Linked DNA regions of Drosophila melanogaster. The protein of the gene in region 3 interacts with the protein of the main gene of each other region in a pairwise test. Each region holds a gene or a part of one and is shown on either strand. Other genes may lie near its edges.

Region 1 (4,408 bases), on a different chromosome or scaffold from region 3:
GGGCGTGGCCCGTGGGCTTAAGCCTGAAGCTTTGTCTGTCTGTTGCTAAGCGCCTGCCACGAGTGTCCGTCCGTCCGCCACTTTGAGCCCAGCTTCTCCTCTTCCTCCTCATCCGGACCATCTACGTTTTGTGCGTCACATCGAAGAAAAACGACGCAGATTTTTGGCAGCTTTGAACGGATTAGCCGCCCGTGGAGCGATTCCCACTCACCACCATGGCGATCAATTCTTTGGTATTTGGAAAGTTTAAAGTTTTCCTTAAGCGGAAAAATCATGTGAAACTCCCAGTTCAAGTATCCCTCAAGTTTCAGTATTACTGTACAACTTTCCTGCTGAATTAAATTTTAAAGCCAGTGGAACAATATGAAGTGAATACCAACGGACACCTTTTGTTCACTTCGCTGCTCCACTTTTCTCTTGGCTGCTGCGACCCCAAAAAAGCCCCACCACCATCACTTTCGCAGTCCATAAATTACAATACCAAAGGAGCAAAATTACAATAGAGCCAGGTATTTGGGTCAATTCTCATTGTCTTTGCTTTTATTTCGACATGCAAAACAGAAGTGGCGAAAATTTAAGGTTTGTGGCATATACAAAGCACAGAAATACTGTTGCATACCGCGGGGCGTTCAGAGTGGTGACTGTACCATGGAAGCTCAGTAAATGAGATACAGATGCACTTCTTCAAGATGCAAAGAAGCAAGTGCACACAATGAATGCAAGAGGTACAGTCCCATTGAATCCCCCTTTCGGCAGGTCGTCCCACTTCGTAGCTATGATTTCGGGGCTCGGGTTCTAGGTTATATTATATTCTTCTAGATTTGGAAAGCCCGGCAACACTTTTGTGGATATTTTTTAGAAAATGAAGTAGGGTGTATGTTGTAAAAATTGTGCTTGTACTGAGTGTGTAGTGTAGTGAGCAGTAAGTAGCAGCAGTAGCAGGAATAACAATCCTTTCATTGTAGATAAATGTAGTGTGTTTAGTTAATTTTGATCATTACTTTTGTGTGAGTCTGTGCTAGATGGAGCAACGATCTAGAAACTGATGGTGTGATATTATCCTATCTTTGGTGGTGGATCCACTTATTCCTCTTTTGCGTCTAGCATCTCTTTTAAAGGGGGGCTATTTAACGTCTGGTTCTTAATGGAGTGATAGTGGATATACAGTTGCTGGGCCTCGCTTTTGTAGTTGTTTTTCATGTCATTTTTCAGCTGCTTTAGCAGCTCCAATCGATAATTGTAGTTCTCCTTAAGGACATACATTTTCCTTTTGAAGTCCGCCTTGGCGGTGCGCTGTGGTATGGCTTGTACGGCGGATTTTGGCGGCTTACCCGAAGATGTGCTGTGACTACTGTAAAGAAATATAAGTTGAAGTATTATATGCCATATGGTATAAACCATATATGCTTACGTAGATGTAGATAAGGTTGTGTGGGTCACTGATAGAAGCATTCCCTTCCAGGTTTTCTTTCGCTGATCCTCTCTTAAAATGACTTCACCTTCCTTTGCACTCAGCTCGTCGCGAATTGTCTTCTTGACCTCCAGAGCCTGAATGCCACTAAAATATTCTTCCATGTCCTTCCTGATTTTTTCCCTTGGGTCAATGTATTCCTCTTTGCCAGGCATCACTTCGTTTGGCTTTTTCATTTCCGCCTCCTGAGCTGCCGATGAAGTACTTGCCTCCATTTGATCCAGTTTTTCGATTTTCACTTCCTCGGATTGCGGTATGATGGTATCCTGTTCCTTGGCTTCTTGAACTTCTTCCTTTACTGGTTTTTCTGGTGAGCTTGGTAAATTTTCCACGACATTTGAGCTTTCTTCTTTGGGACTATTTAACGTTTCTTCTGCAATTAATTGCTTTGATTTTCGGGCATTCTCAATGGTAAGCGTTTTATCAGAAACGGCATCATTTAACTTCATTTGACTTTGTGCCTTAGTTTTCGGGGAGATAGTTTCATCAGAGATCTTGTCAATAATTAACTCTTTGCATTTGTTCCTTTCTATCTTTGCTTCTGCCTGGTATTGTTCCTTTGATTCATTAGAATTGTTTAAAACAAAATATTTCGTTTCTTTCTCGTTACTGGAAATGTCCCGCTTTTTTTCAGTTTCTGCGGGTTTCCTAGTTATTTCGTTTGTATTTTCCTGTGCTCGACTTTCTTCCGAATTGTGCAGATGTGATTGCTGTTTCGTAAGATTCTTGACCGCGCTGAACTTATTTTGCTCAAGACTCATTTGGCCAAGTGATTCTTTAGAATCTTCTGAATATGAGTGATTCATAAAATGCAGCTCGTTGTGTTCACTATGTGCACTTGCTGCTTTCATCTTGTCTGTTTGTGGCACATTTTGATTTTTCAGAATTTCGGTCTCTTCCATTTTGCAGGTCGAAAATTTGAGTTTACGGTGTTTTGTTTGGTTTTGTGTACAGAAAATTGACCCGACTTGTTTCACATCATTTGACTGACTGGCTAAAACTCCGTACGGCAGGTTTAACAAAAGTTCAAAGGCCAATTTGACCCTTGACTTTTTCCGATAGCACCGAAACAAAAGGCATTCTGTGCGGAAATCTTCAAAGCCACGACAACTCTGGCCACAGCTCGAGGCATTTGGGATCTGATTCGAGGCGCAAAAAGTATTTGCCACCCACAAAAGTTTCCCTTCGAACGCCCCTAGGTATTCCATAAAAATAAAAGGCAAAGAAACATAAACATAAACAAAGCCGGACAGCATTCTTATCGCCTTTATTTATTATGCAAACTTTGCTTGCCTCTAAAATTTTCCAGCTGCATGCAAAGGTCTTACCACTGATTTTCAGGCCCACCTCGAGGAGGTTTGACCCGGGATCAGGGTTAATCAAGGAGCACATTCATCAAATTGCCACGCAACACGAGGTCGTGGCATGCAATGCCACAAATATGTTTAAGAATTTACAGTAAATTGTAATGAATGCTTCTAAAAAAAAATGCACAAAACACATGTTTTCTTTAAAATAATTAAAACAAAATTTCAAGAAGAGAGCAAAAATTAGAATGCCATTTAAATTCAAGCTGAGAAATTTACATTGCTGACAGCTAAAATTGGGGCTGTAAATTTTTAATAAGTTTTCCTACTTTGGTAACGGCTGTTCTTATATCTAAACTCGAAGCCCCCATTCTCATCTGCCACACTTGCTTCCACCATGGAACTCTACTCGTAGTCTATAATGCAACATTTGCGCAACGAGAACAATTTTTTTTTTTTTTTTTTTTGGTGGGATAGAAATGGGTTTTGCGTCTAGACAACTGAAGGGCAGGGAAATTGGAGGGGTTTCAAATACTACTACTCCTGCAGCTCCTCTGGTGATGCGGCATTTTCGCCCCACGTATCCGTCTGGAGCGATTTTGTGTGGTCTGAGATTTGGAATACAGTCAGCTGGCAAATTCGAGGGCCTTATGTGGCTTAGAATGGCCCGAAGGAACATGGTCTGCATGGCTAATAAGCCGCTGCAGCCAGGATTGGTAACTGGAATTGGAAAGAAAGTGGGGTTAAGATTTCTTATAAAAATGTGGGAATGGATTTAACAATAAAAATTTAAATAAAATAAATATTGATTTAAAACAATAATATTTCTTTAATCAAACTTCCTTTATTTTTATTTGAATTTTTATAAGTTTTTTTTTTCTAATTGAAATATTTGATAGCAGAGTTGATTGTCTTAGAGCATAAATATTTCATACATACATTTCAGGCTTCTTTTTTTAGCTTTACTTTAGAACGTGATATTAGCGTGCACATTTAAGCCGCCACACTAACCGCATTTGGGGCTAAAAACCCCCACCAATCCAACGCCATACAATCAATGTGAATCAATGTGCCAATGAACTCGTCAATGAACTCGTTATCAACGCTTTTTGGCGGCTAATAGAGCGGATTTTTCCAAACGTTTTTCGACATGCGAGCACGCGAACCAAAAGTTTTAAAAACCCGGTAACTGTGCAGCACGTGCCACGCCCCCTCGCCTGACGACGCCCCAACGACTAGCGACTCACGAAATTATTACAATTATTATTATTATTATTTTTCTCGTGCTGTTTATGCATATTTTGGGTCACGCACGATGCGGCAAACTGTCAGCCGGAAACGGAATTGATTATCGGCGCTACCGAATCCGGCTTTTAGTTCAGTTCACTTCAGTTCAGTTCGGTTCCACTCTCCCCGAATTCCTGTTCCTTTAACCCCTGCTCCATAATTTTTATCTGTTTGCGTGCCTTGTTGTCGTTTGGCTGCCTGCATTCAGAAGTCGCTGGCATTTAATGACTTAATTTGGCCGACTGGGCCACTGCTTTGCTGGAAAATGCAGGAAAACCCGGCTAGAGTTTGCGAAACACTCGACTTTTTCACTTAAAGCAACTAATCTCTTTAGAATATTTCT
Region 2 (7,800 bases), on a different chromosome or scaffold from region 3:
ACTAGGATACACGAAAGCCGATACGTGTCGCTGATTATCTGCCGTGTGCTTAGCACTGGATTAAGCTGCCAAAAAACGTGGTATGGACGCCAGGAGGCGATATCTGTCGACGATGAAATACTTCAGGAGCGGAGCCTCAAAAGAGGGTATCAAGCAGTTCATGTATATATATCAAAGGACTGCAAAACAGACCTTATTGAATCAAATATAAAGTAAACGAACTTATAACATTATATAATTATAAATGTTCTATTAAAAGGGCTCCGCTGTTCCCAATCCGCTCCTGGTTAAATAGATGTAAAAATGTGTAATCCAGACCAGGCTCAACAAGTAGGTGAGAGTTGGAGGTGGAATGTAACCGTTTGACTAGTCGACATGCTGCAAGGATTTTTAATTCGATGTACGTGTGTGTGCAAGGCTGAAAAGGATTCGAGCCAGGACGCAACTGGAAAGTGAATTAAAGATTAACCTGGAGTGATTTGCGAATCTCATGGACTAACGGAATTGAAAATTTATGGAATAAAACATTATGTAGCACATTTTATTTGATGACAGCTGAAAATTGCACTTTAGACTTAGTTACTAATTCAGTTCGGCCCGAAGGGATGAGTTGCCAAGTGTTTACGAACGTTCCACCCAGTGATATATTAATGGATTACTTTTACACATTTATTCCCAGCAGTAAATAAGTTAAATTTCGGGCTCAATTCTCGCTCAAGGACATTACTTCGTTACAAATTCTCTGCTCAAACTCAAATTGTGGGCAGATGATGCTCGGTGCGATGTAGCAGGTTTGCATTCTTGTTCAGGGGCTGCAGCTTCACGTAATCTTGATGCGGGTGATGATGATGCTGCGTGCTAGGCAGCAGCGGTAGTGATGTGTTTGAAGTCTGTAATCGAAAGGATATACTAATAGATTGAATTATCCTCTGAGAGGACTGCCGTACGCACCTTTGATTTATCCCGGGCCGCCGCGATGGCCGCCGCCTGAGCAGGACCCGTCTGGAGCTGCTGGGCCGCCGTGGCCAGCATGAACTGCTGGGAGGCGAGCTGCTGCTGGCGGAGATTGGCCGCCTCCAGGCTGTTGACGTGCTCCAGTTCGCGCTGCTTAGCGATGTAGTCATCGAAGTAGGAGTGCTTTGTGAGCTTCTCGCAGGACCAGCGCTTGGTCGGATCCTTGTCCAGGCACTTCTTGAGAAAGTCAATGGTCAGGGGATTCTGCTGCGACTTGGCCGGCATCTTGTCCTCCAGCGGCTCCAGCGTCGGCGGCACTGGCAGCGTGATGCCCTTAAAGTACTCGTTCTGTCCAAAGATCTGGATGTGGCGCGGCAGCAGGTCGCCGAGCGTCTTGCGGATCAGATAGAGCTGATCCACATCGCTACGTCCTGGCCAGAGGGCCTCGCCCCGGACCAGCTCGGCGAAGAGGCAACCGATGGCCCAGACGTCCACCGGAGTGCCGTACTGAGTGTCGCCCACCAGCAGCTCCGGCGCCCGGTACCATCTGGTGGCCACGTAGTCCGTGTAATTCTCGCCCGGACTGAGCATCCGGGCGAAGCCGAAGTCACACAGCTTCACCTGACCCTGGGCCGTCAGCAGAATGTTCTCCGGCTTGATGTCGCGGTGTAGGCAGCCCTGCTTGTGGCAGTAGGCCACGCCCAGCAGGGTCTGGTAGCAGATCTGTTTGGTCAGGTGCTCCGGGCAGCCCTGTGGATGCCGCTCCAGTTCGTGCAGCACGGTCAGCTCGCAGAACTCGAAGACCAGATGGAGGCGTCGCTTCCGTCGGAACACTTCTAGCAGGGAGACAAGGTTCGGATGCTTCAGGTTCTGCAGGAAATTTCGAGTGATTAAGTGATTCAAGTGATTTAAGTTATTAAGGCTTACCTTCAGTAGCCTAATTTCTCGCAGTGCAATTTTACGAATCGCTGGATCATCCTCGGACTCCACAAACCTCTTGACCGCCACCAGAGCACCCGTTTCCCGATCCCGGCACTTGTAGACCACACCGTAGGAGCCCTCGCCCAGCCGACTGAGCTTCTCATAGCGATCCATTTTGCTGCTACCTTGTGGTCTGCAAGGAAGTTAACAGGTATGAGTTATTCCGGAATTCCCACCCCGATTGCGGCTAACGTTCAGTTTGAGTTTGGAGTGGATTTTACCTTAAGCTCAAACATTGACCACGTTTGATGTTTGCACGTCGCATTGCTTTGCATTGGGCACACAAAATGTTCAAGAATTTTTCTGTTTGATACCTCAGACACGAACACATGTGGACTCACAGGGGCGAACTTGCATTCTAGGATATGCGAGCGAGTATGAAGTGATTTGATATTCGATCTGGTATTATTTCAAGGGCTGTCTTACGATTTGATGTGTATGCATATATGTACAAGTTATTATATTGAATAGGTTTGGTTTTTTTTTGGGGATGTCCAGAACATTTTGGAGGTTTGGTTTCACGAATTCGGTATGATTTGGTTAGTCGATTTCGATGGAATGAAACAAACAACAAATGAGAGAACTTTTAGAATGAGTTATTTGGTTTAAACGTTAATTTTGGTGGGCCAAAGGAACTGTTAAATAAAATGTAATAATAATAAATTAAAATGTGCCGAAGTACATCAATATAAACTTCTTCCTGCTAACTTTTTCCAATCTAAATGCAGCTATTATAGCTAATCAAATAAATCGATATTGTAAACATTCAATTGCCATTAGATACACAACCTAATCATTACTACTCTGCCATTTATAAGCACGAGAACTAAATCGATTTTTTTGACCCAAGTAAACATAACCCTATGTGGAATTGTCATTGATTTGAGTGTATGGACTAATGAATTCTAACATTTTTACACAGTTTAAGTGAAAATAAGATTAAAATAACTTATTCTGTTCATTCAGAATTGTACCATTAGTATTAGATTAGAAACCGAGGGTAATTAACTTTCTAGCGTGAACACGAAAACTAAATCGATTTTGTAGCCCCAGGTGTTCGAGAGCGTGCTCCTTTGAAATTGGCATTACCGGTCTGGTCGAGGACTTCACGGGTTGACAGTTCAATGCCAGCCACAAAACCTTAAACGGGGTAACTGAACCCTGCTTGGGCCTTTCTGCATCTTTTGCTAACATGTGTGTGGGTCATAAACATGGCATGCAATTAAATATTTGTGTGCTTATGATGGTGGTGCTGGTTGGTGGCACAAATAAATGAAAGCAACACAGGACACCGAAAACGTAGCAAGCAGATGACTTACCTAGGCACCCATCTGGCTAATATCTGACGTATTTGCCACTAGAGTTAGTAATTGAATTGTGAATGAATAGGACATATATATATATATATATATGTATTTGATTAAAGTCTTTTGGGGGAAGTCTACGATACACACCATGCGCCGAATATTCCGCCAAGCCTGTCGATCAATAAATATTTGAATGGGTAGACCGCTTGAGCGGACGTATGTTTTGTCTGACAACTGAGCACCGAATGGGGGAAACGCTAGAGCCGACCTGTGCCCCATGTCGACCAGGTCGACTCCACCCCACTGGCCAATGTCATAGCAATGCGACCAAAGTTAACAAAGCAAAAAACCACAACAAAACCAAATCCATGCGCAGTTGCCCCCAAAGTTGTTCAAGAAGTTTCTCCCCTTTGTTGTTTTTTCTAGCGACTACCGGAAGACATTCAAGGTGTGCTTCTTTCCCAGCTTTCCCAGCTCCTTTCCCACTACACATTTTGAGGTTACCTGCTGGAGTCGTCTGTCTAAGGAGAAGGCAGGGGAGTCGCTTATGAACCGGGTTCTTTGACACAGATTGCTGGAGGATTCCATATAGCTAAACTGGTGCAGCAGTGCAATAAGTTTGTCGTAACTACGCGCTACGTGGGCGCTTCGGGGGTGGATTCTATTTGGGGTCCTTATTACTAATTAATGTTTGAATCGCTGTGCAATTATAACAGTATTAGGGATGGCTTTTCCTGGCTGAATAACTTAAGTATTGCTGTGCAGCTAATTTGCTTGCCAGGGGTCACTTATTGTGTTTGCTTTTCGAAGCTGTCCAAACTTTAAAACTTTCACAGTTCACAGGCAAATAAGATAAGTTATGATGTTAATAATAAATGTTAATTTTTTTTTTTAATTTTGTTTATTTTTTTTTTTTTGCTCATACCTTCGTAGGGAAAACAATTTAGAAATCTCAAACATTTTCATTGCAGTATCGAATTTTTTCCAGTTCACCTTTTGTCTATATTTGGTTTGTTTCCGTGTTTCCTTCACTTGGGCCAAACAAAGAGCCCTATAACTTTTTGGCAGAACTACACGATGTGAAGACGTTAAGAGCCGGCAATCGACTGAGGTGCTTTTGGCTAGAAACGAGTTTGGAGAGCGACGGAGTTGGTAGCAGCTCGGTTGCATCAGCGGACATCGCACATACGCCGCGTTGGCCAATGGCGACTTTGATTCCTATGTTTTTGTTTGTTTTGGTCTTGCGTGTTTCATTAATAATGCATTTAAGTGCAGTGGAAAAACACGAAGGTGAGCGTCGAACATAAATTAGGAACCATAATCACGCATACTGTATAAGCAATATGTAAGGTATATGTATATAAAACGAATTCTTTGACCGGTGTGGTGTATTAGGTAACTAATTTCCTTGAAATTTACCTTTAAGAAGTGTATGAAAGTATAGTGACAGCACCCCACTGATTTCTGATTTGCATAATTACTGAGAACTCCCGTCGACCCCGTTCCAACTTAAACACCATCTGCTTGCCTTATACATTTGACAGCTTTTGTTTTCCGCGAAAGCACTTTAACCTTTCCCACTTTGATTTTACCTTTATTCTAGGCTCTTGTGGCTTTTAATTATATTTTTGTATTTATTGTTCTATGTAGTTGTTTGCGCATAGCAATTATTTGTTCATGTCGTTGTCATGATGTTTGCACTCAATGTTGGGGTCAATGCTTCCCAGCTTAATGGCTCTTCGTTTATTTACCATTCTGATACTGACCCCCGGTATTTGTGTGATATAGCAGCGCTAAAGTTTATTTAGTAATGGGTATTATATAAGAATGAGAGGAGAATTAAAGCACTTCTATTTAAGAAAAAGGAACATTTAGCTGGCCTTTAAAATAGATACTTAAAATTGAAATTTACTTATACGAGTTTAGCTTACTGAAGTCAGACTGAATGGTCTTTATTTTTAGAGAAACCACACATTTTTAGATGTTTAATATTCGTACTGCCTTGTGGGTTTATTTCAAGTGTCTGTACTTGCTAAAATAGCAATAATATGTCAAGTAAGTAAAGTTTTTTAGCAAAACCTCTAACATCGCCTTGTAAAGTCCCTGAACCTTTTGGCCATATAAATATTGCGGGTTGTTGGTAAGGGTTGTGTTGACGTGGCCTTTGGGAAAACAAGCGTAAAATGCAATAAATAACAAGCCATTAATGCCAAATGCTCACACACGCACCGAGTGTCCCAAACTTTGTGCGAGGTCTGTGCAAAAAGCGTTGCCTACTTACGGGGATAGCAGAGCTGAAGCGCTTGGAGGACGAAGCAGGCATATGCGTGTGAAATGAAAGGCCAAGGCCGTTGCAACACCACCTCCACCAGCAGCGACTCAAATGTCATTGGGAAAAGTTTATCCTTTCTGCCCGTTTTAGCACTGCATTTCACTTTCATTCCGCAAAAAGTTGGTAAAGCTAATTAGGGCCACGAACGGCGCTAATCGACCCACCTGTACTGCCTGGTCTCAACTAAGTCCGGCTCATTGCACACCTGGATCTTCTGAATGAGGCGGTAGAGGAAGGAGTTCTGTAACGATTGCGGCAAGTAGAACGATGAGCTGTGAAACATTGCACGTCGCCAGGCGTTCGTACGGCTGCAGGGTCTCAGGATAACTAAGTTGCACTTCGACGGTCTCTCGTCTATTTATTTTATCGATACATGATTTCAAATGCAACGGACATCATGAATACTTTATGCATGGAGCGACATTCCTTCTCAAACAGGTGCAAAAAACCGGCTCTGTTTCTGACGTGTCTCGTGCCGGCAATGCTTTTCCATATTGTTTAAGATTTTTTTGGGTCAGAAAAAATGCGGCCGGGGGAAGCCAAAGGAACATGCAAATGAGTCAGGCGCATAATGCGAGAAGTGAGAGTTGCGACGGCAGGCGAATGAGGCAGAGTTTGCCACATGCCACAGCGAGGCACACGAAATCAGTGGTGCAAGCTGGAGGGAAAAAAACGGCTTGCGGGGATTCAATTATGTAAGGTGAGGCGGGCACCTGTGAGTTTTGGCATCCACTGTGGGAATGAGAGCGACTGTCAAATGCCATGAAAGCGCCAAACAAATGTAAGTATCCTGCTGGCAAACCGAAAACGCGATTCTAATTCGCGGCTGTTGAAAAGTCCATTCACCAAAAGTGCTGATATAAGCAAAGCAGTCCCATTATAACATTTTTTGAGCACAATGAACGTTTAGATCTTGGGATCATGGCAATTCAATGTGAATAAACTTGATTAAAGTTTAAAAAACCCTTACTAATTTCACATAAATAAACTTAGGAAATGTATGAAACACATCAAATTGTTATTGCTACCAGAACAGCATGAATTGCGCTCCTTGGGTCCTGGGTCATGATCATGAACTTGTCTTGTATTATATAACTATCCATCTCCTGAAACAACTTATCAATAATTACCAAAGAAAAGTATGTGACTTGTAAAAACCTTCTCATGAACAAGTGTGCGAGTACAAGTGTTATGTATCAATCATTTGCTTACAGTCTGATGGGCAATATCTTATTCTATTTCAGTCAGATATGTATTCCAGCAAAAAAACATTTCCCTCTGTTCCTTTCGAGCAAAACGCAAGTGTCGTTGACATTTGCCGAAAATAGGGTTTTCGTCTGCTTGGATCAAAAGCATTAAAAACCGCTACATCATCCGTTCCCATAAGTATGCAATATTCCTTCAGAGCTGCTTGTCTGGCCTGTCAGAATTCGGATGGTAAGTGGGTTGATGTTGGAGACAAATCCAAGCTCCGAACGCATTTCAATGCAATTTGATGTCTCTGTACTTGATTTCATCTCTTTTCGCTTTTGTTCTTCTGCATCTTTTTTTCCGTGCACATATACTCGCATTGATTGAAATTCAATTTGATTGGAGTTTTTGTCCTTTTTGGTCCTGTGGCTTCTTGGTTAGATCTTGTGTAAGTTGAGTAGCTTTTAACTGTCAGTTTCAAAGGCGTTCAAAGAAGGTATCTAAATGTTAGTTAGAGACACACAATGTTTTCATACGATGATTACTATTTACTGTAGGGTTGGTTATTCACAAGGCCCGACGTTAAGCAAAACAATATCAGGGGCAACACTCTATCTGCGCGCCAATCTTGAAGTTCAAGTTTAGGCCAAAACAATGAAAAAATGTTTGGATAGCACTTTTTGTTACCATTCAATGCAATGCAATGCCAAGTTCGACTTACCTTCTGGGCAAAAGTGGAAGGTGGTTACCAAACAGCCAGAGACGTTTCTCTCCGAACCATTTGTCCATAGACAAGCATTTAATAACTGTTTGGAAAATTGATTTTAAAATGCCGTACTATTTCTGGAATCTCGAAAGTGATTTCCGCATCCTGCGAGCATTTAACTAAATGGATTTTCACGCGCGAGATGCGAGGCGAGTTTCGCGTCCGTTGGCGAAGAAATATTAACAAACTTTGTTTATAAGCGTAGTCCACGCCGTAAACGTAGCCGGAATTTTTATGTGCGCCGGCATTGAAAACGCCGAAGACAATGG
Region 3 (4,941 bases):
ATAGTTAACTATAAAAAGCAAGATGGGAACTTATTTATAAGCAGAAACATGAACACGATACGAACATGGGCAGAGCTATTTAATTTTGTTCATATTTCAACGGGAATTTTACAGCTTGTAATTGTTTACTAAAGACTGCTGCCAGTTTTAAACCATACAATTTAGTTTTTAATAAGTGCTTGTACTGCAAAATTTAATTATACCTTTTGTTTCGGTAAGCTTCATAAATCTGATCTTGAAAAACTAGTTAGTGCTTTAGTTGCTTTCCGGGAAAAGTTCTTAGTCAGCTGGGTTTTTTTTAATTCATTTTTTTTTTTTGGCGATAAATCACCGATTCGTCCCATTGTGCGTGACTGTGCGCTTGTAGTGGTGCTCGCAGAGTGCTTTATTGCATTGGGCTCGCATCGCCTGTCAGTCTGTCACTGTGTGTGCTGGTGTGCGTGCGCCTCTCTGTGTGTTCGCGCGTGTGTGTGTGTGTGCGACGTATCTGTGCCCGCTCAGTGCTCTGTGCTCAAATGCAATTTACAATTACGCGCGGCAATTGGAGCAGCTACCGTTGTGTGCGTGCGTACGTGCGGGATCATTGCACATTGCGTCAACGTTTCAAGATCACAATTACAATTACCCCGACGCAGTGGCAGTTGCAGTAGCACCAAAAAATCCATCTCAATTGCGAGAGAACCGAACAGTGGCAAAAGCAACCGAAAATTAAGTAAGGCACAGCAAATTTGTCGAAGAAAACTATCAACAATACAAGTAAATAAGAACGGCAGAACGGCCGCCCGCCCCCACAACAGCTGCTCTCCGTTGATGCGCCACTCCACTCCGCGGCTCAACGATTCTTCTATACAATTCTTCGAGCCTCCTCCCCTCGCCCATTCTCGCCCCACGAGACTCCCCTCCCCCCGCCCCCCACGCTGCTCTTCTCGATTCTTTTCGCCCCTCCCGCCGGCCCGCTGGAAAAAACGGGCAGAGCTGCAGAGCCGCAGAAAGCGATTTCAGTTCGGCGACGGCAGCGCACAGGTGCCATTCGGAAAGTGCGGACGTAGAATGTTTGCCGGGAATTCCAGTGGCATTTTCACCTATAGTTCCACTCGATTTTGCCTCGACGCCAGCGTTAGTAGCGCGTTTCGACGGAACACACAGATCGTTTTCCAACACCATAAGCACCATTTCACTTTTGAGTCTTTCCTTATCAGTCACTCCCAATCACTACCCAACCATCATCCACTACTCTTCACTAGTTTCTCTTTCTACTATCCTTTTTCTTATTATTCCCATCCTCCCTTTTAACTATCTTCACACACTCATTCTTAACGGAAATCTTCACTGTTTTTATGCTTTCTACTATCGTTCTATCCGCCAGCCTTTCACTTTTCACTCGCTTCTAACATTTACCATTCTAGCTATTTTTTTACCATCTCTTACCATTGAATTCTTTATATAAGCCTTAGTAAATTAGTATACAGAAAATAGTACGAATTTCCATTTTCCATTTTCTGCACTTTTTTCAACTTCTTCTGCTTACAACATCTTTCTTATCACCAATCCCATTACACTTTCTTGCATATTCCTATTTCATTTTTGCTGTTCTAACGAATCTCACACTTACTTCATTAGTCCCAACTCTTTGCTAACCTGGTGTATACATACCTTTACCCACCCCACCTCTACCCGCGATCCAGCCAATCCATCCATGTGAGATGAGTGCGTGCGACGGCGGTACGGGAACGGTTTCGCGAACGTCTGACGCCCCCGCTTTCCAATTCGATGTCATGCCAAAGATAACGACGTCGACGTCGACGTCGAAAGCGTCGGCAGCGAGGGCGAAAACGAAAACGACAGCAAAAGCAACAACAATTGGAAAAACAACAACGACGACAACGCGGAGAACGGTTAAAATTGAAAATAAATGGACGACGGCAGAGGCAACGGCGTTCAGTTATCAGCGGACAGCGGAGCAGATTGGAGCTAGTGCCCGAGCCAGAGCCAGAACCAAAGTAGCAGCTACAGTCAGAGCTAGAGCAAACCCAATTGCGGCCACATCCAATCAGCGAAGTGACATTGGTTATCCATGTGAGGTGGCATCCATCTCCGAGTTGGCCCTACGCAAGGCGCAGTTGAAAGCGCAATTTTTCGGCAATCAAGTGGGTGGATTAGCCCGCGATAGCGAGACAAGCAGCACCACTAGAATCACTCGCACCACCAACTACCGCAGTGCTTATCCCAGCTGCAAGACGGAACGAGGCAAGCCGGTGCAACAGCTAATCGATCAGTTCCAGGCCATGATTGTCCAGCAGCAGCAGCAGCAGCAGCTGAGCAACGAGGGCGAGCCCAAGACACTGCCCGGAGCCACTGCATCCAATTCGGATGAGGGCTGTAATGTCACCGGCGGCGGACTGAGTCCCTATAGCAGCGACAACGAGGATAACAGCCTATCGCCGAGGCAGCGCAAAATGAAGGTCACACGCTGTGCCAGTAGTGATTCCGCCCTGGGTCTGGACGTGGACGATGGCGGCATGGATGTGCCGTTGCCGCCACAACGTCGGATGACACTGACCGTAACGGATTTACCCCTGCGACCGGCCCTACTGCCACTGGCCGAACCCACAGCCCTGCCAGATTCGCCACTGACATCGCCCACCGGCGGTGGCAATCCGAGCGTGGGTGTGCCCACCAAGGTGCTGCTCGAGGAGCGAGTGGTAGCCGCACCGGGATCGCGACGTGAATCCACCCAGAGCTCGTACAGCGAACTGGGCGTCAGTGGACTGCCGCTGGGCGTGCGCTATGTGCGCACACCATCCGTCGTGGTTAGCGACTATTCGGATGACATAACCGCCTGCGGCATTAGCATGGAGGAAATGGAATACTTTCGTCTGCAGCGGGCGCGTGGTCAGCGGCGTTGTTCCCTGGAGGCGGGACATCACAGTCATAGCGGTGGACATGGCGCACATGGACACGGTGGATCGGGAGCGGCGGGAATGTCGCCGGGATGTGGCAAGGACGATGGCCAATCGGATGTCAGTGCAGCAAGCAGTTGCAGCAATCTCTACTATTGTGGATCCACCATTTCTGCCCTCGATGGTGGCGAGTGCATCGTGAATGGAGTTCGAGTTGCGCTCGCCAGGAAGAGCAGCACCCAGAGCAGCAGTCTCAGCGACGAGGAGGAGGAGGAGGAGGATGACGACGAGGATCGCGATGAGCAGGATCGCGATGAGGATGATCGCGATGCGGAGGAGATGCTTCAGGAGGATTACGAGCGGGGGGATCGCGAACGTGAGAGGGAGCGGCAGATCAGCGAACTAATGGCCGCCACGCAGCTTGGTGATCGTCAGCGGGATCGATCCAAGAAGGTAGGCGCCCGCGATGACGTCACAAACCAGGGAAATCTCAAACTAGACTAAAGAATTCGGGTTGGCAAAACGGACAAGTAACAAAGTGGAGCAGCCTAGTAAATTTAATATTAAACACTATTTTTTTTTTTTCGTTTTTAAATATCATTAATGATTGTTTGTGTTGTTGTTATCGAAAGCATAAAAGAGCAGTGAATGAGGGCAGGTCTGAATGGCAGCGAAAGAGATAAGCAAGTTGGTGCATATACACAGGGAGAAACGGGTGCTACGCGTAGATGAAATGTGGCATAATTAAAAAAAAAAAAAAACAATCTATTTTGCTCTAGAGCAGTATTATACCGTTTAGTTTATCAACTGCAAGACCATTATAACTATAGAAAAAGACTATAATAATAAGACTTTTACAATACGCATATCTATTAAATATAAAAAGAAAAAAAAAAACAAAGAAAATCCCTTGAACTACTGACTTGATAATGCGAATTACCACTAAGTTTCATCTTGTTTTAAAGATGATGAGATGATATATAGGCTCAAGAACGGTAATCCCGCGCCTTATCAGCTAATGGTTTTTCCACCTTGCATATGCAGGTCTTTTCTTTCAGTGTATGCGTTTGCTTAAAAGGCTATTAATTAATTAGAATTTTATCTTATCACTAAAATGAGGTTCTGTTACTCGGAGAAGTCTTTTTGTATTCTTCGCTTTTCGTTCGCTATAATAATTATCGTTTTTTTTTTTTTTTTTTTTTTTTTTTTGAGTGAATGAGAACGATATGATGGTGGTGATGTTGAAAAATAGGGGGTTCCTTGATAAAAAAAAAAAACAAGTATATATCTACGAAAATACGAAAACCTCGGATCCGTTGGTTTAATTCGTTTTTTTTTTCGTATCTAGAACTGCAAAACAAAACAACGGCAGCGATAGCGAGGAAAAGAGCTTATCTTAGTTAACTGTATACTGTATTATAGATAAATATTATGTACATATATAAGCCAGCACATATTTACGTTTATATAATGGCATCTTTTTTTTTTTGTGGTTTATTATTCCTTTTGTTGCTGTTGCTGTTGTCAGCAGACGGCGAAAAGTTTGTAAAGCAAATAAAAGTATTAGAAACCGAATTTTCGGAGTCATGATAACGATAATAAAGCAATTCACCTGGATATCTCATACATACATACATGTACATATGTGTATATGCAAGAGATATGGATATGTATGTTGTCTGATCGTATATGTATGTGTGCCAATGTGTGTTTGGTTAATAATGTTACGCGCTTATCAAGCGGGTTTATCTGCCTGGCATTCATATAGCAATATATGGTATATATGTATATATATACCCTCACCGCCGACAAAAGCAATAATTGGAGGCATCCCAGAAATGGCCTGTTGTTCTTCTACTTTTTTTTAAGCCACGGGCATGCGGCTTATATATGCTTAATACGATATACTATCTACTGTATAGTGTGGTTATATCTATGATGATCCCATCCGCCAGTCTAACACAATTGTATAAAGCTCTGTCTTACGGGTTGTTGTTTTTTTCTTTTATTTTTTTTTTTATTATTATTTTTTTTTCTTTGC
Region 4 (7,343 bases), on a different chromosome or scaffold from region 3:
ACAAGGTGCAGCACTACAACGAGTACAAGGCCCTGATCACAAGCATCTTCGGAGAGCTGACGCCGGAGAACAAGAAGCGAATCGAGGATCGGATCAAGAAGCAGCAGGCAAAGGCCAAGGCGGATGCGCAATCGAAACCCAGTACTAAGCCACCAGCCGCTCCACCAAAGGGCGGTTCGTCGCCGCCACCAGGTAAGGGCGAATCTGGAGGAAAAAAGAGATCCGATTCGTCTCCATCTGCGTCTATAGCTCCTACAGGTCCAGCACCCCGTAAGCCACTGATCAGTCTGCCAAGTAGACCTCCAAGGGGTGGAAAGCAGCGGTCCGGCTCGGCTCCAGCTCCTAATCTGGTTGATGAAGATTCAGCTGCTCGAAATAGGGAACCAGATGCTTCTGCATATGATGGCGCATCACCGTCAGCTTGGAAGAGATCGGGCTCTGCTCCAGCACCGAGTGTAGTTCCCAGGGCATCGGCCTCCCGCAGTCCGTCTAGAAAGTCACCTTCACCCTCTCACGACGGCATATCTCCTTCTACAAGACAAGAATCCTTAAGCAAAAAGAAATCAGGGTCGGCTCCAGCTCCGACGCCAACTTCTCGTGGACCATTCCGGACTGCGCCCTCCAATACAGAATTCATAAAGCGCAGACCTGCTAAAGATTACGGCAGTAGAAATGAAACCCAAAGCACTCCCGGGGAGTCGGAACTGGACCCAACAAAACCACAGCCCTAGTTTGAATCCTCCTTTGTAAGTCCACCAATAAAGATAGGTAATAGTTACAGAAAGAATATAAATATAAAACTTTACTTGTAATATCAACAACTTGTGGAGGCGACGCCTCCATTGTCTTTTGCTCAGTACTTCCAAAAGTTTGGATTCTGTTCCATGCGACGCTGGAAATTCGTATACCAATTTTGAACGACGGAGAAGGGCACAAAGGTCTCGCTCGAGATGGGCGGGATGTCTCTGGCTGCCACTCCGAAGCTGGAGGCGTAGTTGAAGAAGTTCTCCAGCATTCGCTGACCAAATTGCTTGTTGTCGTTGGCAGTGGACTGAAAATTGGAAATGGGGTTAGATTTGAATCGCAATTATTGCGCCAATCAAATCGGTTGGCAACTACTGATCTTCAGAACTTACCACGGCTGGCGTCTGTTGGGCCACCGTTAGCTCCGGTTCGAGGGAAACTCCAATCTGTGCGATGTGTGAGATCTCCTGGCTGCCGAAGACCATCCCGTGAGCCTGGGCCTCCAGCTCGTGACTCTTCTTCAGCTGGGCGATTTTGAAGATGGCGGAGGGCTTGGTGTTGTTTATGTGACCCAGATACTGCCATGTGGGTGCTGCGTTCGCGTCCGGCCAGCTGAAATATATCGCAGCGGAGGTGCCGACGGGCAGGGGTGATACGCCGGTGAGGAATACTACCAGGTAGTTGACGGATTCTATGTCGGGCACATTCACGAGCAACTTGGTGGCGTCCACGGCCACAAAATCCGATTGGGGCAGGCGTCCGGAGACTATCAGACCGAATAGCGACATTTTCGAGCGGTGGACTATTCCAGAATTCGATATGCCCGCTTTGTTGGGGGAGGAGATGTTATGGAGATGAGCAAAAAGGAACTACCTTATCGATGCTTTCTTTCCTAATGGTGTACAGCCCACTACGTTTCTAACAAAAAAATATATTGAAGTATATTGGAATTTGTTGCTTGCATATGTTCTGACAGTTGATGCATATTCCAAAATCCTAAAAAAAGATTTTTTTTTAAATTTTAAATGGAACTAGTTCAGGCGACTGCTACTTGGCTTGCCATTCACAGCGATACGGCAACTCCAAACAGCTGACGCTGCCATGCGAATGCTGATATCGTAGCAAAAACACAGGGACGGTGCGAAAGAAGAGGGATTTTATTTTGTTTTCGCCTGGCAATTGAGTAATGGCCGGACTCCTTCACCTGACCAAGCAGTGCAGCATCCACCTACCCGCCCACTTGGGACGCGCGAAATGCTACACACTCGCTAAGGGACCGGGAACACACGTGCAGGCAAGAGTGGTGAGTGCTCGGCCTCTAGACCCATTTCAAGGCCACCTGCCAGACTATCTAGACTAGATTACGGTTTCGTAATTACGCGTAAATACGCAATAAATTGGCGGTTTGATTGAGTGGGGACAGCCGGCGATCGGCGGGGAAAACAGTCTGCGTGTGCGTTGTTTTGGTCCTTCTCCACTTCCATCCGATCAATCTTGAATTAATGCTCCACGCTATGGCTTATTTCGTTGCAGCAAGCATAGAGTTAGACCAAAACAGCGCGCACGCACACAGACTTGGAGGATCGATCGGGTATTGGGGACAATGGGTCGCACGCAGCGTCGCCGGCATCAGAGGGCCAAGAAGTCTGACGAGAATTCGGGCTCCCTGCACGACCTCTACGTTCATCTACACTCCGTTGGCTGGCAGAACCACACTCACTTGTCGGCCCAATACTACGAACAGACAGGTCGAGGACTATGCTCTAAACAGAAGACCTTTTCTCCGGAGGATGAGCTCATTCGCCTGCCCATTGGCTGTCTCATAAGCATAGCGACTCTGGAATCTGATGGGCCATTCAAAAGTCTTTTCGACGAAGAGTTATTTGACAAGGACTCCAGAATTTCCTTTCAGGCACTGATAGCCTGTTATATTTTGTACCACAAGCACTTGCAGGAGTGTACGCTAGGGACTCACTCCTCTACTTACGCTGCATATTTGGACACCCTGCCCAGGTGCTACTCCACTCCGTATTTCTGCTCCATACCCGAGCTACAGTGTCTGCCAGAATCCCTGCTAGAGCGGACCGTGGCCCAGAACCGTCAGATAAGAGGTTACTTTGAAATTATTAAGAACATTGTACACAAATGCGATTGCTGTGGGAAGAGCTACGGCCAGGAGATTTGGACACTCGCAGACTTTAAGTGGGCCTACTTCAGCGTGAACACTAGGAGCGTCCACCTCAGTTCCCGCTTTCTGAAAAAGCAGAGCAACTACTTTCAGCCGCTTATCAGTGGCGACACCAACCTGGCATTGGCTCCGTTTCTGGATCTTTTTAACCACTCAGATCAAGTGGAAATCACAGCAGGGATTGAGGGTCCCGATTACGTTCTTACATTGAAATCTCTGCCATTTTCCGAGACCAAACCATATGATCAATTGTTCATCAGCTACGGTGCTTTGCCCAACTTTAAGCTATTGACGGAATATGGCTTTTGGCTAAGAGAAAATAAGCACGATTACTTTGAAGTCTCCCTACTGGACATTGAGCACATGATTAAGCAAAACAAGGAGCTATCAACGCAAACCTTTCACCGGAACATCTTTAAATTCATCAGGGAGCACAATCTGAACGATCAAATGTTCGTGCACATCGACGATGGATGCTCTCACAATCTAAGGGTTGTGCTGCACCTGATCTTCAAGCAGCAGGCCTACTTTCCCAACATCCTCAACCAGATTGCCTTTGGAGACGCCGAGCAGTTTCAGGACGTGCAGCCAGAGCTGTCGTACCTCGTAGAATATAAAATAAAGGAATACGAGATCTTTGGAGGAGAGCTGGATAAGCTTCCTAAATTGACAGAAAGTGGTGCAGTGGCACGGTCTTACCTCCAAGAGTGTATCCGTTACCTCGTTGACTTTCAATCGGTGCATCTAGCTGCATAGAAGCTGTCTAGGCTGAGCTTAGAATTTAAAACAAGGCGTTTAATATTGAAATGAATAGTAATAGATGTTAAAGAAAAACTACTTAAGTTTATATTATTTGAGGCATTTAAATTTTTTTTAATAAATCACAGAAAACTGTAAACTTTATTTTGTAAATGACCCCTTTCAGCTGTACTCTTCGCTGACTAAGGTTGATGATAAGAACAGCAGCGATGCCAAGCGGAAGAAGATTACCCCGTTTACGCCCACGCCGGGTAGCAAGCTCCTGGGTGGAGTATTCGGCAAGAAGGCCAAAGGTAGGTGCCGTGGGGCAGCATCAGTTACCCAGTAAATAACCAATGCTCGAGTATCCTGATTAATACAGCACCCCTGCAGATATCCGCAGGCTTTTTATTTAGTACTAGCCTCTCACGCTTTTTTTTTATTGACTAACCAACCCAAAATTGATTTTGTTTTGTGGACCGAGTACGTGCGTCCGTTTGTTTCTTTGTTTGTTTGTGCGCTTGTTGTGTTGAGCGCCTGTCTGAATTTGGCTGCATCCAAGTGAATTCAATGCAGGTGGAGCCCCAGCAGCAGCAGCAGCAAAAACAACAACGCTACAGCGGCAGCGACCTTACCGCCCACAACAACAGCAATCACGACTATGTCATGTTCATATAGGGGGCGGCAGCGATGGTGGCTCGGGATTGGGCAAGCTAGACGCGCCGGAGGTCACCTCCAAGGATATGCTGCGTGCCATGATGGCCTACATCTGGCCAAAGGAGGATCCACTGGTGCGAAAGCGGTAAGTTCATCTGACTATGACTGAGAATACTTTAATATCTATTGTTTTCCAAATTGACAGGGTGGGTATTTCCCTGGGTCTGTTGGCTGGCTCCAAGCTGCTGACCGTCTGTGTCCCCTTCTTGTTCAAAGGAGCTGTGGACACGATGACAACGCTGAACATGGACACTGCCCCGGATGCGGTCCTCTCCGCAGCCACCGCACTGATGTTGGGATGTAGGTTTCTTAGCCTGAGTTCCCTATCATAAAAGATCTTAACTGTCTAATTCACGCAGATGGCATTGCTAGAGCCAGTGCGGCGGGCTTTAATGAGTTGCGGAATGCAGTGTTTGCCAAGGTGGCCCACCACTCGATCCGAAAGATCGCCAGCAATGTGTTCCTGCATCTGCACAACCTGGATCTGGCCTTCCACCTGAACAAACAAACTGGAGCACTGTCAAAGACCATCGATCGAGGATCGAGGGGCATTAACTTTGTGCTCTCCGCCATGGTCTTCAACATTGTGCCCACTATCTTTGAGCTGGCCCTCGTGTCCAGTATCCTGGGAGTGAAGTGTGGCCTGGCCTTCGCTGGTGTCAGCATGGGCTGCGTTGGCATATACGCTGCCTACACTCTGAGTGTGACCCAGTGGCGCACCCAGTTCCGTGTATTTATGAACCAGGCGGAGAACGAGGCCGGCAACAAGGCCGTAGACTCGCTGATCAACTACGAGACGGTGAAGTACTTCAACAACGAAAAGTACGAGGCGGGTTGCTACAACGAGGTGCTGAAGAAGTATGAGGCGGCCAGCTTGAAGACTAGCTCCAGTCTCGCTCTGCTCAACTTTGGCCAGAACGCCATTTTCAGCAGCGCACTGAGTCTGATTATGGTATTGGCCGCCAAGGAGATTGCCCAAGGCAACATGACGGTTGGAGATTTGGTGATGGTCAACGCCCTGCTCTTCCAGCTCTCGATCCCCCTCGGTTTTCTGGGCAGTGTTTATCGTGAGGTGCGACAGGCTTTGCTGGACATGCGGGCCATGTTCACGTTGATGAACGTGGACAGTAGCATTCAGACAGCCGCCAATGCCCAGCCCCTGTTCGTGGACACCACTAACTCATCCATTGAGTTCCGCAACGTGAGCTTCGAGTACGAACCTGGCAAGCCCATTTTCCGGGACCTCAGTTTCACCATACCCGCCGGTAAAAACGTCGCCATTGTGGGCGGCTCTGGCTCAGGAAAATCGTCGATGGTGCGCCTTCTCTTCCGCTTCTTTGAGCCAAACTCTGGTAAAGTGTTGATCGGTGGCCAGGATATCAGCGCCGTGGATTTGGAGAGCCTGCGCAAGGTTATTGCAGTGGTGCCGCAGGATTCGGTGCTATTCCACAACACCATCGAGCACAATATCCACTATGGCAACCTGTCCAAGTCCCACGCAGAAGTGCAGAATGCTGCCCGCATGGCTGATTTGCATGACTCCATCATGAGCTGGCCAGGACAGTACTCCACTCAGGTAGGCGAACGTGGATTAAAGTTATCCGGTGGCGAGAAGCAGCGCGTTGCCATCGCTAGGGCCATACTGAAGAACACCCCCATTCTGATCTTTGACGAGGCTACAAGCAGTCTGGACTCGATCACCGAGCATGTGAGTGTTGAAAGCGACTAAGTGAACTTCTATAAACTGACGGAATCGGACTTCTTCCCTTTGTAGAACATTCTGCAGGCTCTGACCCGCGCTACCTCAGGACGCACTAGCATTTGCATTGCCCACCGTCTCTCGACAGTCAAGGATGCGGACGAGATTCTGGTGCTCGAGAACGGACGTGTAGGTGAACGTGGCACCCATTCGGAGCTGCTGAGGCAGAATGGACTGTATGCCCGCCTCTGGGAGACGCAGACGCAGCAGTTCGACCCGAGCCGGGAGATCAATGAGGAGGTGGCAGCGAAGAAGACGCGGGGCGTGGCGTAGACGAGGCTCCTAGCCTATTTATGTGTTTGTTATAATGTTATAACCATCCCCTTCGTTTGGCAATCCCTAGCCACTAAATTCACCGTAGAATCCTCCTGGACCGGAGATTCGCTATTCATAGGCTTAAAGTATCATTGTGACGTTTGTAAATACAGCTGTAGATATGCGATAAGAGAAATTGAACGGGATGTGGTACAATATGGAACATTTATTATCAGTTTTATCACCCATACATTCGGTTATATCGCTCTGGTTTCCAAGGTTTTGTTTCGAGATTTAATTGATTTGAGCGTATCGTTATGTAAATGCAAAATAATGTGATATTATTAAATGCATTTCATTGATATATAGACAAAACCAAGAGGATTTGTGTATATCCTTCAAATCGGACCTTCATTTCTTCAATATAAATTGTTATCCTCTGATTTATAGGCAATATAGGTTTTGAATTTGCTTAACCAGATTTAATATCGAATCTAGATACGGCTAAAACCGAAATAGTGCCGATGGTTAGCCTTCTCCTTCAATCTCCCCCCTTTACGGCCTGCGGAATGGGCACATCGTAGAGCAAGTACATTAGGCAGTTGCCAATGTGGCCCAAAAACTGCTGGTAGTTGGTAACCCGATGCTGGAACTCCTGCCACAGCGGCAGGACAGACCGCTCCTCGGTATCAGGCTGTTCTATCGTGATGCCCTGCTCCAGCATCGTTTTGTTGGTGTATGTGAACAGATACGAAGCTGGCTTCTGGCCAATGGTGGTGACCAAGTGGGTGATGTTGCTCTCCAGACCGATGCTCTTGCCGGCTGTCAGGAAATAGGCCTCCGGATCCCGCTCGTTCCGGTACCGAACATTTCCCTCAAGAATGGTCAGCGTGCAGTTGATAAGGTCCGGCGAGATGAAGTTGGTCAGAGTTAGTCCCGGGA

The links.
Region 1: the proteins of IP3K2 (region 3) and w-cup interact in a two-hybrid assay, tested with the Drosophila melanogaster proteins (one large-scale study listed by BioGRID).
Region 2: the proteins of IP3K2 (region 3) and CG7236 interact in a two-hybrid assay, tested with the Drosophila melanogaster proteins (one large-scale study listed by BioGRID).
Region 4: the proteins of IP3K2 (region 3) and ABCB7 interact in a two-hybrid assay, tested with the Drosophila melanogaster proteins (one large-scale study listed by BioGRID).

What each region holds. Positions count from the first base shown.
Region 1 is NT_033779.5:10,575,345-10,579,752, forward strand, and holds w-cup (world cup), read right to left. Parts: upstream 2,449-4,408; 5' UTR 2,374-2,448; coding exon 1,412-2,373; intron 1,352-1,411; coding exon 1,084-1,351; 3' UTR 516-1,083; downstream 1-515.
Region 2 is NT_033779.5:5,706,506-5,714,305, reverse strand, and holds CG7236 (uncharacterized protein), read right to left. Parts: upstream 5,916-7,800; 5' UTR 5,858-5,915; coding exon 5,739-5,857; intron 4,357-5,738; exon of another isoform or gene 4,209-4,356; coding exon of another isoform or gene 4,168-4,208; intron 2,404-4,167; exon of another isoform or gene 2,267-2,403; coding exon of another isoform or gene 2,157-2,266; intron 2,069-2,156; coding exon 1,882-2,068; intron 1,825-1,881; coding exon 952-1,824; intron 891-951; coding exon 753-890; 3' UTR 515-752; downstream 1-514.
Region 3 is NC_004354.4:13,303,595-13,308,535, forward strand, and holds the start of IP3K2 (inositol 1,4,5-triphosphate kinase 2), read left to right. Parts: upstream 1-1,920; 5' UTR 1,921-2,285; coding exon 2,286-3,353; exon of another isoform or gene 3,354-4,410; intron 4,411-4,941.
Region 4 is NT_037436.4:1,616,571-1,623,913, forward strand, and holds ABCB7 (ATP binding cassette subfamily B member 7), read left to right. Parts: upstream 1-1,843; 5' UTR 1,844-1,930; coding exon 1,931-2,047; intron 2,048-2,277; exon of another isoform or gene 2,278-2,347; coding exon of another isoform or gene 2,348-3,688; exon of another isoform or gene 3,689-3,827; intron 3,828-3,857; coding exon 3,858-3,984; intron 3,985-4,246; coding exon 4,247-4,472; intron 4,473-4,532; coding exon 4,533-4,687; intron 4,688-4,746; coding exon 4,747-6,095; intron 6,096-6,161; coding exon 6,162-6,419; 3' UTR 6,420-6,843; downstream 6,844-7,343. Other genes in the region: CG33791 (uncharacterized protein), read left to right, coding at 1-731; CG13926 (uncharacterized protein), read right to left, coding at 854-1,051, 1,137-1,532; CG33230 (uncharacterized protein), read left to right, coding at 2,348-3,688; GC (gamma-glutamyl carboxylase), read right to left, coding at 6,943-7,343.